Xenopus tropicalis: one gene and its partners. The protein of the gene in region 1 binds, or shares a complex with, the protein of each later gene. Links are inferred from orthologs where the notes say so. Each region holds a gene or a part of one and is shown on either strand. Other genes may lie near its edges.

What was found.
Region 2: the proteins of nf2 (region 1) and lats1 are in contact, whole or in part, in a crystal structure (PDB 7LWH), measured with the Homo sapiens proteins. The link is inferred for Xenopus tropicalis from reciprocal best matches to the Homo sapiens genes NF2 and LATS1. Residues at the interface, in NP_000259.1 of Homo sapiens: Pro135, Glu136, Ala137, Val139, Leu140, Tyr144, Asn175, Leu176, Tyr177, Gln178, Met179, Met183, Trp184, Arg187, Trp191, Glu206, Ile210, Asp213, Leu214, Glu215; in NP_004681.1 of Homo sapiens: Pro69, Lys70, Phe71, Gly72, His74, Ala77, Leu78, Glu80, Ile81, Arg82, Ser84, Leu85, Phe88, Ala89, Asn90.
Region 3: the proteins of nf2 (region 1) and lats2 are in contact, whole or in part, in a crystal structure (PDB 4ZRI), measured with the Homo sapiens proteins. The link is inferred for Xenopus tropicalis from reciprocal best matches to the Homo sapiens genes NF2 and LATS2. Residues at the interface, in NP_000259.1 of Homo sapiens: Pro135, Glu136, Ala137, Val139, Leu140, Tyr144, Asn175, Leu176, Tyr177, Gln178, Met179, Trp184, Arg187, Trp191, Glu206, Lys209, Ile210; in NP_055387.2 of Homo sapiens: Tyr73, Ala76, Leu77, Glu79, Ile80, Arg81, Ser83, Leu84, Leu85, Phe87, Ala88, Asn89.

The regions. Positions count from the first base shown.
Region 1 is NC_030677.2:144,768,578-144,773,191, forward strand, and holds part of nf2 (merlin), read right to left. Parts: intron 927-4,614; coding exon 804-926; intron 588-803; coding exon 370-587; intron 1-369. UniProt on the Homo sapiens protein: Probable regulator of the Hippo/SWH (Sav/Wts/Hpo) signaling pathway, a signaling pathway that plays a pivotal role in tumor suppression by restricting proliferation and promoting apoptosis.
Region 2 is NC_030681.2:58,191,331-58,196,641, reverse strand, and holds the start of lats1 (serine/threonine-protein kinase LATS1), read right to left. Parts: upstream 3,549-5,311; 5' UTR 3,446-3,548; intron 1-3,445. UniProt on the Homo sapiens protein: Negative regulator of YAP1 in the Hippo signaling pathway that plays a pivotal role in organ size control and tumor suppression by restricting proliferation and promoting apoptosis.
Region 3 is NC_030678.2:157,780,385-157,785,623, forward strand, and holds the start of lats2 (serine/threonine-protein kinase LATS2), read left to right. Parts: upstream 1-1,691; 5' UTR 1,692-1,759; intron 1,760-2,790; exon of another isoform or gene 2,791-3,111; intron 3,112-5,239. UniProt on the Homo sapiens protein: Negative regulator of YAP1 in the Hippo signaling pathway that plays a pivotal role in organ size control and tumor suppression by restricting proliferation and promoting apoptosis.

The DNA of each region.
Region 1 (4,614 bases):
ACAGGGGCTCATTTATCAAAATTGGGCACATTTGTACCTGGTGCCCATACACATGAAGATTCGCTCGCTTGGCGAGGTTGCCAAGCAAGCGGATCTTTACCCGATATCCCCACCTATGGGTGGGCGACATCGGGGGAACATGTGGGCAGTTCGGGGACCGCATCAACAAGCAAAACTGGGGGACAAAAGCTGCCATTTGTAACTTGCAACATGCTTAGCTGTTGCTAAAATACAACTCTCAACATGCTGGTGTTAGTCCCTTAATAGCAGCAGAAGCCCGCAGGTTAAAGATTACTTTGGTAAAAAAAAGTAAAACAAGAATAACTATTACAAGGAATGAAAAAAGGCAGTGTCAAATGCAAACTTTACCTCCGTTCTGATTCCTCTGCCATCTTTATTGCCAGCATTTCTGTCTCCATGACCTTTTGCTCCATTAACCGCTTTTCTTCCTCATTGCGAATGGCTGTGGCTTTGATTCTTTGCATTTCTTGTTCAGCCTCTGCTGCTTTCTGGGCCAGTAGTTTGGCTTCCTCTTCTGTGATCTGAGCTTTTTCTGCCAGTAGGTCAGCAGTCTCCTCTGACCGCATCTAGGGAGAACAGCAATACAGAGCTGTTTATTAGCAATCCCAGATACAAGAGACCTCAAATAGTAACAGAAGCCTGACGATGCTGCAAACAGCTTTCATTCCCCATTAGCACAATGACTTCTCACATGTTTAGTTAGAAAGTCATTCAAGCTTAGATATGTATGGGTAACACTATTAATAAATCATGAAATACCTGGCTCTACAGACAAGTCTTACCAATGCATCATTGGCCATCTGAGCCTCTTCTTTTAGCTGCAGCAGCCTTCTTTCCAGCTCATCCCGGGCTCTTTCCGCCTCTTCCCTCAGTTGTTTTTCCCGTGCCAGGCGTTGCCGTTCCATCTATAGAGATGCAACAAGTTAAAAGTGATACAAGGGACTACTAAGGCATAACAAGGATTTTTTTTTTTTTAACAAGTTTCAACAATCCATAAGAGTATAAACCTGTCTTTAAAAGCTGTGGCGCTGTGTTATTAAATACAACCAAACCTTAGAGTAAAAACTTGTCTCAGCAGCCACACCCATCACAGAACACATTATTATGGTTTTTAATATGCATTGTGATATGTAGACATCCTTAAAATTAATTTGAAATCACCGGCAGGACCTCTGCTGCCACCCTGTTTTCTCAACCTTGTGCATGTGTTGTTTATAACCCTATTATGCGGCTGTACTGAAAATGGTAGTTATTTATGAATTAAACATGAAGGTAAAACAAAGATCTGTCTCAGATATAGAGCTTTACAACTATTTATTTAGACTCATGCTTTGCAAGAATAAAATATTTTGTTAATTGCGTTTAGTTAATGAAAGCTCTGAAAGGGAGAAAAATAAACAGCGGGAAGAAGCACTTCCTCACAGTGTTAGTGTTTAATAATTAAAAATGCTATACTTGAACCTGTACTAACACTGACCCCTTGTGGTTCACCCTTGCAGTAAAACAGACCTGTATTCTAGTCAAGCGTAATCATGTGGATACAAGTCAATGACTTGTAGGCAGGGTGTTAGAATGTTACATGTTGTGAAGGTGTCACTGTGACATCCTTTTCCCCTTGATGGCATTATTAACATTCTTGCCTGGCTGCAACTGGACTTTACATTGCTGCCACTGAGGAATTTTAGAATAATTCAAACGTAACCTATTAAGGACACACAAGACCAGTCTTCTTTTCTGAAATTTCATAAGAATGACCACCATGAAAATTATTTAAAGGAAAACTATACCCCCAGAATGAATACCTAACTAACAGATAGTTTATGTTAAGTGACCTATTAAAGAATCTCGGCAAACTGGAATATATATATATATATATATATATATATACACATATATATATCAAAATAAAACAGCCAGCACCAAGGGTCTTTGTGTTTCAAAAAATCTCTCGTGTATTAAAATTGCATGTACAACCGACGTTTCGGTCCCTTTTGGGACCTTTTTACACACACACATATATATATATATATATATATATATAGCAAGACAATGAGCCGCACACGCAGGGACTTTTTTAGAAAACAAAAAATTTCTTTAATGAAAACGATCCATATATATATATAATCAAAAAAAAATCGGCACTCACCGTTTCAAGAGCACTAGCCGGGTGCTAACCAAAAAGTAAACAATAGATGTGTAGAAAGCACTCACAGCATATAAAAGTAAAACAAAAATGTATTTGTTTATTAGCTCATCGCATCTACGCGTTTCGATCCTAATAGGATCCTGATGACGATCCTATTAGGATCGAAACGCGTAGATGCGATGAGCTAATAAACAAATACATTTTTGTTTTACTTTTATATGCTGTGAGTGCTTTCTACACATCTATTTTATATATATATATATATATATATACACACCATTTAGTGATGGGCTGTGTGCTCCCTCAGAGATCACCTGACAGGAAATAATGCAGCTCTAACTGTAACAGGAAGTAGCATGGAAGCAAAAGCAGAACTCTGTCCATTAATTGGCCGATGTGGCCTAGCATGTATGTGTGCCTTGGCTTGATAGTGTGCACTGTGAATCCTATGATCCCAGAAGGCGGCCCTTAATTCCTTCTAAACTAGTAGTTTTCCTGAAGCAAATAGATCAGTAAAAGCAAAGCAACAGTACATTATATTTTAATTATTTTAAAACACTGTATCTGGTGTTATTGTTCCTTTCAAAGTAATTAAAACATAATGTACTGTTTACTCTGCACTGGTAAATTGGTGTGTTTGCTTCAGGAATCCTATAAATAAAACAATGCTGCTGTGTAGCCCTGGGGGCAGCCATTCAAGCTAAAAGAAAGGAGAAAAGGCACAGGTTACATAGCAGATAACAGACCAGTAGAATACATGGGTATTTTATCTGTTATCTGCTATGTAACCTGTGCCTTTTCTCCTTTCTTTTAGCTTGAATGGCTGCCCCCATGGCTACACAGCAACTTATATATATAACTATAGTAATGTTGCTAAAGCAAACACAAAACTTTTACCAGTACAGGGCAACAGTCAATTATATTTTAATCACTTTAAAAATAGGGATGCTCCAAATCCAGAATGGTCCTGGACAAACTGAATCTGAATCCTTAAAATCGTGTGACTTTATCACATAGACAAGGAAGGTGAACATTTTTCACTACTCACAGATCTTTTTACTTCTGTGCCTTTATTTGCATGTGCTGATTCGGGGTTCAGCTGAATCCCAAAATAGTGGATTTGGTGCATCCCTAAAACACTTTCAGTTTTTGGTGTTACTGTTCCTTTAACTGTTACCAGGCCCAATCTGGACCACTCAATGGGATATACTGACAATTGCAGCACCTTAAAGGGATTAGGGTTCATCAAAACAAGTGGCAACAAACTCTGCCACCCAAGGCAGTGATCCCCAACCAGTGGCTCATGAGCAACATGTAACTCACCATCCCCTTTGATGTTGCTCCCAGTCGCCTCAAAGTAGGTGCCCATTTTTACATTTCTGGCTTGAAGACAAGTTTTGGAAGCATATAGACACAGTTTTTGTCCAAGCAGAGCCTTGTGCAGGTTAGGAGTTCACATGGGCTACCAAATAACCAATCACAGGCCCTTATTTAGCATCCTTAAGGAACCTTTTTCACGCTTGTGTGGCTCACCAAGATATGGATGATAAGTAAAAAAGGTTGGAAATCCCTGCTCTAAGGGCTATGACACACTGAGCTATTTCCAGCCTACTACAAAATAGACAATACTTATTTTCTCTACATGTGTTTTAGCAGATACAATATTGAGAATTGTCTCTGCTAAAACACATGTAGAGGAAATCATCAGTACTGTCTATTCTGTAGCTGGTTGCAAGCAGCTCTGTGTGTCATTACCCTAAAACTTTAAAATCAAGTAACAAAAATGGTTCTTCAGTGCCCTGGGAAAAGTACCATTCTGAAAAAAGAGCTCAGACAAAGTACTGTGTAAAAAAACAACTGTATGAAAATTAGACTATGCTTTTACCATACAAAAACAATACAATAATATGCATATTATTCTCAGCAAAATGATACTCATGCAATGTGTGCTCATTTCAAAATCATCCTAAGCAGTGTTACAGTTTCAATTATTTCTGTTAAAAACAATAAATTCATTATATGGGTATAATTTAGTGTGCATATCCTCTATAAATTTGCATTTGTATGTACAAATCAAAGCTATGACAACAGTTGATAATCTCTAAACAGCTATTGAGATCCTAATGCTCATAAACAGAATGCTTATGTTGTGGTCTACTGATAATGCAACAAGACATAGCAACATTTATAAATGCAAATATGTAGACTAAATAATTTTTGCACCCAATGAAAAATGCCCATAACCGTTACAATGGAATTCCTCTCTTTCACCTGCCAAATGTATCTGCAGTGTGACATCAGTCCTATTTAATGAACAATGTAAACAGAAAGTTACATTCGATTTTCTGCTGAGAATATAAGCAAATATGGTTCAGATATTATACAACCATAACATAAAGGTCTTTAGCCTAGCCAACATACTCTGCCATAGTAAAACATATCAAATC
Region 2 (5,311 bases), on another chromosome or scaffold:
GAAGGAGACTGAATGATAGCAGGTATGTGAGCAGAGATCAAGTAAAGCTTTTTCAAGAATGGGTGTGATTAGTGCTTGTTTGTATGAAAATGGAAAAGTACCAGCAGAAAGTGAATGGTTAAGCAGGTGGGTAAGTGCAGGGCTGAGTGATCAGATATTGAGTGAAGGAGGTGAAAAGGTATGGGGTCAAGGGTGCAGGTTGTGGGTTAGGAGCAGACCAGAAGTTTGCTAACTTCCTTTACTGTTACAGGGATGAAAGAATGTAAAGTATATCTGACTGTATTGCAAGTTAATTTAAGATTGACATAAACTGGTATACTATTTTGTCCTGAGCAACGCCTTGAGCAGTGACAGTAATGAGTGGAGGATGTGGTGGAGGGCAAGGCAGCAGTTAATGTGGCACGTAACCTGCTTTTTGGAAGGGTAAGAGGGGGTAACCATGTATTTTATGTGTGAGTACACTCCTGCCTCTCACTGTATAATGTATTTTGCATGTGGGGTTATTGTTCTTGGAAGTCTCTATATCATTATTTACAAGTGTATATAATATGGCCTTTACTGTACAAGCTGACACAGAAAGGCTAAACCTATTGTAATACTAGGCTTTACAACATATATTCACTTGCCAGAGAAATGCCTTAAACCACACATGCTAAAAGCCAGCAAAAGCCAAGATGCCCCATTAACACACAATAATTTTAAATGGAAACACCTCGAGTGATGAACATGAAGCAGTGAAAGGTAGAACTCCACCAATAACCATACTTAGTCAAATTACATTTCATGTTATCAGAAGCTGTGACAGGCAGACATACTGTAGCTGTTTTAACCATTGCTGGTTTTCCCTGACCACAGTGTCAGCATAACCCCCCACATCCTACCCATGTGATGTAGCACTTAAGGTAGACATACACTGTAAGATCCACTCCTTTGGCGAGGTTACCAAGTGAGTGGATCTTCTCCTGATATGCCCACCTACGGGAGGGCTATATATGGGGCTAATTCGTTTGCATTAAAACGGCGGGCATAGCCGCTGTCTGTTCGGGGACCACATCAACGAGCTGATGTGGTCCCTGATCCGACCGAAAAATCAAACCTGCCAGTTCGAGATCTGGCTGATTTCATGCCAAATGTCGGTCCAGGAGGACCATCATTGGTGCCCATACACAGGCAGATAAGCTGTTGAATTGGTCTAAAGGATCGATATCAGCAGCTGAAATTGGCCCGTGTATGGCCACCTTTAGGGGAATTGCAGATTGGGTGATGTCAGAAAACTTTACACTTCATGGGTAACAAAGCATCCAAAAACACATTTGAACTGCACCATATGTAACTCATCACAGATAAAACTCTCTTTTTTTAATTTATTTATTTATTTTTTTAACTGCTCCAAAATGTTCTGTTCTGCATGTTTGCTGAACAAAGTAAGAAGTCCCTTTTACAAGCGGCAATTTACAGAGGACGTTATTCGGTTGTATTTCTGGTTGCTTTGCTGCTGTGAGGAGAATGATTTCATGTGGGCAACAAAATGCCCTCATCTGCCATTGGGCGGTAACATCAACAGGAGAGCACTAATAACTGATGTGTTGTGAAAAAAGCACTTCTCCACATGACAGTATCCCTTTAAAATACAGACATAAGGGTAAATTTGCAGCCTCTCTTTACTGCTGCCTTGCAAAGGGATGTCAGTAAAACCGCCTCCCTCAGCTAATGTGAACAGAGCCTCATCTGTTCAGCCTGCCCTCAGAACAAAGGACAGGCAAGAAGAATACAACTCTCCCAGACACCTGTCCGGAAGAAATCTGCTGTTTTAACGGATAGGAGCTCCAGATTTCTATCCTGCTAATGCTACCCAGCTTATGGCTAATAATAACATGCTGGTGTATTTTAATGGATTGAGAAGAGGCCAAAACTGCCCATGGTGGCTCCAATTTATGTTGCAGTTTATGGTTTTAACTGCAGCTGCAGTCCAGCCTTGAAATGCCCACGTCAGCCTGTCATTATTCTGATTAAATCAAGTAAAATAAGCTGTGGCTGAAACATACAAGAAGCGTTCATGTGAGTATTTCAAGACACGGTGGTCCAAGTTTTATTGCTCCATGTACACCATTCAAGCTTCCTCTAAGTTAATATTACAAGGATATTTTAGCTTCTGTGGACTCCTGGAGGAAAAAAGACTGTGGGGCTCAGTTATCAAAAAAACAAAAAAAAACTATTTGCACCAGGGCAGAAACCCACTGCAACCACGGTGACTTTTTCAACTAGGAGCAATAACAGCAAAAGTAAGGTTGGCCATACACAAGCCAATAAAAGCTGCTGACTTGGTCCTTCCAACAGGCCTGACCGACCAATATCTGGCTAAATTGTTAGATTCACATCTGCTTATTGATGCAGCCCACATCCTGATTTACACAGTTTTGATAAGTGACCCCATTGTGTCCGAATACTGCTAATATATACAAAACTGATAAATTACCTGCCTACTTTCTAAAACAGTACAGGTGACTATTAAAATGCTGCAATGCACATTTTTGGCCTCAATGCATCCACCGGTCATTGTGCACACAGGGTGTATTTAACTTAGGTACATATTTTCGTGCATCATTTCTTTCCAGTGTTTGCAGTGACAGGCGGATGTCACTCATGTCACTAGTTAGAGAAAAGAAGTTTGGTGTGTTAATGAAGTATTTTCCACCAGGGCAAAACTTACAGCATTTAAACAAGTTTTGCTTAGTAAGGCAAAGAAAGCAATCATAATTAACAAAATTCTGGATAGTGGCTGAACTGATTCATTGAGGTCTTGGGTTGATAAATATTTTTACCTTAAGAATGTCTACTAATAGAAATACATAAAATCCTACAAATAAGAACACCTGTGTGAAATATAATTTGAATAATTGTGAACACATATCAATCATATGGCCCCCAACATTTATTGCAAATAATCATAACCTGGCCACACTATTCCACACCTAGAAAAATGCATAACTGTCTATGTAAAAGCAAATTACCACCATTTCATTTTCTGGAAAAAGAAAACTTCTGTGTGCACTATCTATATCTTGTGAAACCTTTTTTTCACAGAACTACTGTATTATCCGAGTTTGGAGATAGCGCTGGTGGTGCACCTAGACATTCTATCCAAGCGTTCTGATCTTACTTTGCAGACTTCTTTGTTCTTAACTAGAACTGGGTTCACTTTCTAACGAATAGTCATTCCATGTCTAAATTAATCGATCAAGAACACGAAAACGGTACAGTATTACGAACATCGAACAACACTCGATCACAACTTTTGTTTCTTACTTCTGCAGAAAAACTACTCGTTTTTCACGGCACAGTCCCCTCCTAAACAAACAATTCGTACATACCACCACCCAGGTTCACATGCACTTTTAATTTTTTGAGCAACTAAATTACTCCTCACAAATAAAGGGTTACTTACCAGTTACTTCACAAATCATCCCAAAACCTCAGCCATTTTGAGCTTTGGGCTTATATGACTTGTAGATTCCCGGATGTAACTTTTCCCCCTTCACAACCTCCGGTTCCTCCCACTGTCAACTGCCGGCTGCCCGCCTACACGCAAGAGCGTTTTGACTTCATCACGGAACAGTCACGTCGGAGTCACGTGATGCTGACGCCACAAATGTGCATTTCTTCACTAGGAAGTGGTTTGAAGTACTGTACGGAGCAGCCAAATCTGTTTGTTTTGGTGCCTTGAACGCCTTTTGTAGGTGTCGTTGGTCGTTATTTGAAAGTAAGTCACTTTTACTTCCCTATACTTTTTTCTTCCCTATACTTTTTTCTTCCTACTTGTACTGTGTCCAAACTTCATTTTTACGTATTTGGTTTCTGCTTAGGGTCTAGGTCATCTGGGGGTTCCGAAAATAGTCTTGCAGGCTGGGTGGATAAATCTTCTTAGATAACTGTTTCAACTAGAGGTTTGGGAAAGGAGGTTTTCAACTAAATACACAGAACAGATATGGTTACTGTTTAAAATTATATCAGATTACTACCACTACTTTTAAAGGAATTGTTCAGTGAAAAAACTGGGTAGATAGGTTGCGCAAAATAAAAAAAAATGTTTTCAATATACTTAGCCAAAAATATAATCTTTAAATACTGGGGTGAGCAGATGTCTAGCCAGAACACTACTTCCTTCTTTGCATCTCTCTAACCTGTTAAAAGTTGGTAGCCAATCAGTGACTTAAGAGAAGGTGGGGGGCAAGTTTGACCTTAATGCCTATATATAACCTGCCTAACTTTTAGTTGGTCCAGAGGAAGGCAAAAAAATCCATAAACCCCTGATGCCTCTCTAATTTGCCACAGAGGGTGAAAGAAAATTCCTTCCTGACTCCAAGATGGGAATCGGACCAGTCCCTGGATCAACTTGTACTAAGAGCTATCTCCCATAACCCTGTATTCCCTCACTTGCTAAAATGCCATCCAGCCCCTTATCAGTTGTATCAGTATGACTGGGAGGGAGTTCCACAACTTCACAGCTCTCACAGTAAAAATTCCTTTCTGAATATTTAAACAGGACCTCCCGTATTCTAAACCGGGTCGGTGTCCCTGTGTCCGTTGAAAGGACCTACTGGAAAATAAAGTATTTGAGAGGTTATTATATTATCCCCATATATATATATATTTTTTTTTTTTTATTTATGCATTTATAACATATAACAACATGAAACATTGACACTGGTTCTACAAGCGTGTTTTTGGTCAGGATATATACAGTACATTGGTTTAAATAATCAGTGATATCCTACTCGAGGTAATGTTCAACTTCTGTTAAAGAAGGGGAGGATTTGGGATTACCAGCGGAGGTTCAGATTCCCAGGGAGGATCCTGTGGCATTATTCCATGGCTTCAACCCATGTTCCCCATACCTTGTCATACTTTTGGGGGCATCCCCTTGCTATATAGGTGAGTTGTATCAGTGGAAGAAGGGCTTTAAGTAAATTGAGCCAGCTGGCAATTGTCGGGGGAGAGTGTGCCATCCATTGAAATAGGATACTTTTCCTGGCATAAAACAGTAATGTTCTACAGAGGATGCGCAATGCTGATTTGGGAGTAATGTCATGCAAAATGCCGAATAGGCAAACCTTGGGATTGAGTATTTTAGGTAGGGATGTTGTGTTTTGGATGTGGGCTAGGATCTGATTCCAAAAGTGGTGTATTTGTGGGCATGACCACATTAAGTGAAAGTAGTTGGCCTCGGGGGCACCACATTTATGGCAATGGGACGAATTGCGGATTCCCATATGATGTAGACGTAGAGGGGTCAAATGGAGCCTGTGTATGA
Region 3 (5,239 bases), on another chromosome or scaffold:
GCAACGAAAAAGTTGCGACAATTAGCCGAAAAATCGCAAAATACTGATCATTACGAAAAAACGCAATCGGACGCATTCGGCCAGTTCGTGAGTAAGTAAATGGGCCCCTATGTGAGTTTTAGCAGAGGCAATTCTCAGTATTGTCTGGCTTTTAGTAGCCAAGACAAGTATCTGCTAATAAGTAGCTCCGTGTCTTCACCCTTAATACTTGTACCGCTGCATGCTTAATGCTTCTGGAAGCATACTGCCAGCTTTCACATTTTCATCCCCTTGGACAGAAAGAACAACCAAACTGAGTTGATTATTCTCTGTTCACACATGAGAGATTATCTCAGCTGACCCACACATATGGAAGGTGCCTGCTTTATTGTGATACCTCAGAACAAATACCAGACTTTCCCAAAACTGAACGACTGGCCCATGCGTGTCAGCCTTCAGTCACCAAAAAGATTGCAACAGCTGCAGTGAAATGGAACTTCAGCAATGTCTTATCACAAGCATTACAGAGGCAATGTACACACAGTCTCAAGGTTAACAACTCCCTTATAGCCAAGCTGTAGCAGATATAGAGCATTTCGCCCATCAGGCAGCAAATAGTTAAACAACAAGAGTTTGTAGGATATCTTATCAACTAACTAACCTGCATTGTACAAGTGCACACAAGTGTAGGAACTACAATAGCCCATACAGTGGTGTCTGAAATTTTGCAAACCATTTTGCCCTAATACTAGATAATGAGAATCCCATTAAACAAATTAGTCAAAAACATAATGTGTGTTCATTTATCTCTTGAGAAAAAGGACCCTATGTTACATTTTGTGTAGGGCACAACTATGTGAACCTTTGTTTTTAATAAATGGTGTGCCCCCATTGGGCAGCAATGACTACCACTAAATATTTCCGAGAGCTGATGATCAGTCCTGCAAATCAGTTTTTGGGAATTTTAGCCCATTCCTGAAATCAGAACAACCTCAACTCAGGGATGTTGTCAGGCTTCCTCGCATAGACTGCCTGCTTCCGAATTTTCCACAACATTTCTACAGGATTAATATCAGGACTTTGACTTGGCTGTTCCAAAACATAAACTTTCTTCTGTTCATCCATTCTTTGGTGGACTTTGTTTTTAGGTTCAAATTTGCTGGTAGAATTCCTTTTTGCATAGCAGTGGTTTCTCCTTGCAACCCTGCCATGCACACCATTGTTTTGATAGTGGACCCATGAATATTGACATCGGCCAATGCCAGAGACTACTTTAGTTCATTATAGGCCATTTTTATTTCTTTAGATCTCCCAAAATGCTTGCTGTTGTTGTGACTTTTGTTTGCCACCATTTGTACATGACCTGCCTGACTGATGGAGTCCAAATTCTCTATAATTAGTTTTTCAACCTTTTCCAGCCTGAGCAATAACAAGTGATTTTTGGAGGTCCTCAGAAATCTTTTTTGTTTCAGCCATGATACATGTCTCTTGCATTGGCGGATTTGCAGGACTTCTACAAACTTTTGTTGCAAAGATCAGACTTGGATAGTGAGGAGCCGGATTTCCGTTATGTAATTAACGCCGGGCATCCCACGCTCAAACCTGATTATCATCCCATTGATTGAAACACCTGACTCTCATGCATTTGGCATTTGTAAGTGCATAAAAAATGTAAGTAACTAATTAATTGGGTGCAAGTTAGTTCCACGTGCAAGCAAACACGCCTGCAAGCACTATCTCCTCAAGGCAAGTGAGAGGTGGCAGAGGCTAGTACAAAGGGGTGTGTATTCAACAAAATACCTTTGTGGATTTCAATTTTGAGCTTTGACTTTATGTTTAGAAATGAGACCAGATTTTCACATACCTGTTAAATGGAAATAGTGAGCACATTAGGCATGAGATGGAAAGAGAACACACATAGACAAGACTAAATAGCCTCTTAGTGGGTTCTCTGACCAATGACCCCCTTGTAACAAAGTCTCTGACCAAGGAGCCTATGTAAGTTTACTACTCTGCACTGGGCCCCTCTGAAGGTTTTTGCAGGGGGGTTGGGGGCAGCACAGAGTAGTTACACCACTGCATGTGGTGCTCCAAAGGATTTTTATGGTCCCCAGGCTCCATAGACTTCACTTCACATAGACTCTACCAGATATAATTGGCCCACTACTTGTAATAAGACAGCACTGCCTTAGAGGGTCATATAATTAGTCCAAACAGTGTATAGAGTGATATTATAGCTGCTGGCAGGGGAGAGGGGGGGTTACTAAGCAAAGCCATATAGCAACCTGTTTTTTCAGAGGGCACTGAGACGCGTCATTACAATAACAAGATAGCCACAGGGAGCTATTATGATAGTTTACAGTCCATATGGATAGGTGTGACAGCATTGGGGTAGAAAGGGTTAATGTACTCAATTAAGGATGCTGGGGGTGGTAAAGAGATACTGACACCAAAAAATTAACCCCTTTTTACATCTATCATAGCATTGTCTGTATGTTAGTTATAATTTTAGCTTTCCAATTGGTCCTTATTTATTTTTTATACTTTTTAAATGATGTGCCTTCTTCTGACTCTTTCTAACTTTCAAATGGGGGTCACTGACCCCAGCAGTTACTTTTTATTACTTATTTTTCTGTTTAGGTCCATCTTCTATAAACATATTAGTCTCTGGTCAAACCACTCCTTGTGCTGCTCAGTAATTGAAACCCTAGCAGTGTCAGTATCACGTTAATAGATGGGCTGGCGCAAATGGGCTGTGAAGACGCTAAAGCTGAGGGTTGGAAGGGTTACAGAAGGCAGAATGGTGCTGTAGAGGTGAATGGTAGAAGGATAAAGCGCACAGCCATCAGGCGGCCTCTGTGGTAACTTTGAGAGCTCAGCACAGAACAAGTTAATCGCGCCACAGGCCGGAGAGAGGGAAAGCGAAGGATTCCCGGGGCCACGCCCCCTCACACACCGGCCAATCCCCGCTTCTCCACGTCGATGACGCAGGCAGGGGCTCCCACGTGACCGCAATGGAATGCAAACAATGCGGCGGGCGCCCAAGTCCAACCCGCTACATTCTATCGGCGGCGGCGGCGGGGACGGGCGGAGAGCGGAACCGTCTGTTGGCTTGCACCGAGCGGAACTCCGGTAAACTGACTAGTGCTAGAGCTGCGGGTGTTGGGGGGAGGGCGCTGGGGTCCGGGGGAACAAGCTAATGACACGTATTGTCCGTGCGCGTCCGACCCCGAATGTTCCCTCAGGAGCAGTGACAGCATGGCCCTAGCCCCCGCCAAGGCTCCCTACCACTTCCCTACCCTATGCCCTGTGCTTTGCAACTTTTCCATTGGGCTTCATAGTGAATTGTTATAGTTCTGACACTATTTACCCCTCTGCCTCCATGTGCTTGGGTTAGTTAGTTAGGGGTCTCAGACCCTAGCAACCACAAATATCTGTTGCTCTGTGAGGCTACACCGTTATTGGTACTTATATCTCTGTTTGAAGCCGGCCATCCAAGTTCAGATTTTAGCCTTCTTCTGATGAACGTTTAGATATCGATCGTATGTTTAAATGCAACGAACTAATGTTAGGGCTGAAATTGTAAGTTAAAGCCCTAAAAATATCAAATCAGAGGAATTTCTGAACATGAAATAGTTGTCAGACACCAATGGTAGGAAAGTGACCCCCCCCCAAGCGCGCCGTCACATACACCCCAAGCGCGCCGTCACATACACCCCAAGCGCGCCGTCACATACACCCCAAGCGCGCCGTCACATACACCCCAAGCGCGCCGTCACATACACCCCAAGCGCGCCGTCACATACACCCCAAGCGCGCCGTCACATACACCCCAAGCGCGCCGTCACATACACCCCAAGCGCGCCGTCACATACACCCCAAGCGCGCCGTCACATACACCCCAAGCGCGCCGTCACATACTCCCCAAGCGCGCCGTCACATACACCCCAAGCACTAACATTTTCTAACCTGTCCAATCGACTAAACGACTGATCACCTCGGTATTATTGGGATCATTTGGAGCCCACATACAGTCCAAAAATCAAACTACATTTACGCTTATATCACTGCATTATGGGCAGCTTTAGCCTTTCCTCTTCCACTCTGTCATTCACACCACTGCCTGGTTGCTAAGGCAAATTGGAGCCTAGCAACCAGATAGCTTCTAAAAATTCAAATCTGGAAAGCTGCTGAAGAAAAAGGTAAATAGCAAAAAAAAAAGGACCAATTGCAAATTATCTCTGCATATCACCATCTATGTTAGTGATGCCCAACCAGTGGTATTGCTCACCATCTCCTTTGTTGTTCCCAGTCTCCAGTGCCCATTTTAAAATCTCTGGCTTGGAGACAAGTTTTGGAAGCACAGTCACAGTTTTTTCCCAAGCAGAACCCCCTATCTCTGCATTACAATATGTATTCTTGCACCATGTTGTGCCACACAAGTTTTTTTGTTTGTGCAGCCTCAAAGGGCAAGGTCCTTTAAATAGTGAGAAGGATAGCTGCATGGCAGGGCTGCTGCTTTTTTTTCCAGGTTGAACATAAAGACAATCCCATGATTACCAGGAAATACATTCCTACATGGCTATAACCTTTTCAGTCCTAAAGTTGTTTTTCTGCTCACATATAGTTTATCCCCTCAAACTAACCTGCCAATAAACAGAAATGAATCTGTCTGTAATTGCTGCCCTATGCAATGGGACTGTACAACAGGGAACAGGCATGTATGGCAAAGTATTGGATTAATATGGAGTTACATAGAACTGTGATTGGAGTAAAGGCCTTAGCAGTTTGCTGTTATTGGATACTGGGCAATTCAGCTAAATGTTTTCAGACCACAGGAACCTATCTACAGAGGTCTAATTGTGGCTATTGTCAATTTTCCCACAGTCCCTTCCCAGAGGCTATTATCCCCCCACTGCTACTATAGGCACCATCTCTCCCTACTATACCTGCTATCCCACAGCCCCAGTCCCTTCCCAGAGGCTATTATCCCCCCACTGCTACTATAGGCACCATCTCTCCCTACTATACCTGCTATCCCACAGCCACAGTCCCTTCCCAGAGTCTATTATCCCCCCACTGCTACTATAGGCACCATCTCTCCCTACTATACCTGCTATCCCACAGCCCCAGTCCCTTCCCAGAGGCAATTATCCCCCCACTGCTACTATAGGCACCATCTCTCCCTACTATACCTGCTATCCCACAGCCACAGTCCCTTCCCAGAGGCTATTATCGCCCCCCCTGCTACTATAGGCAC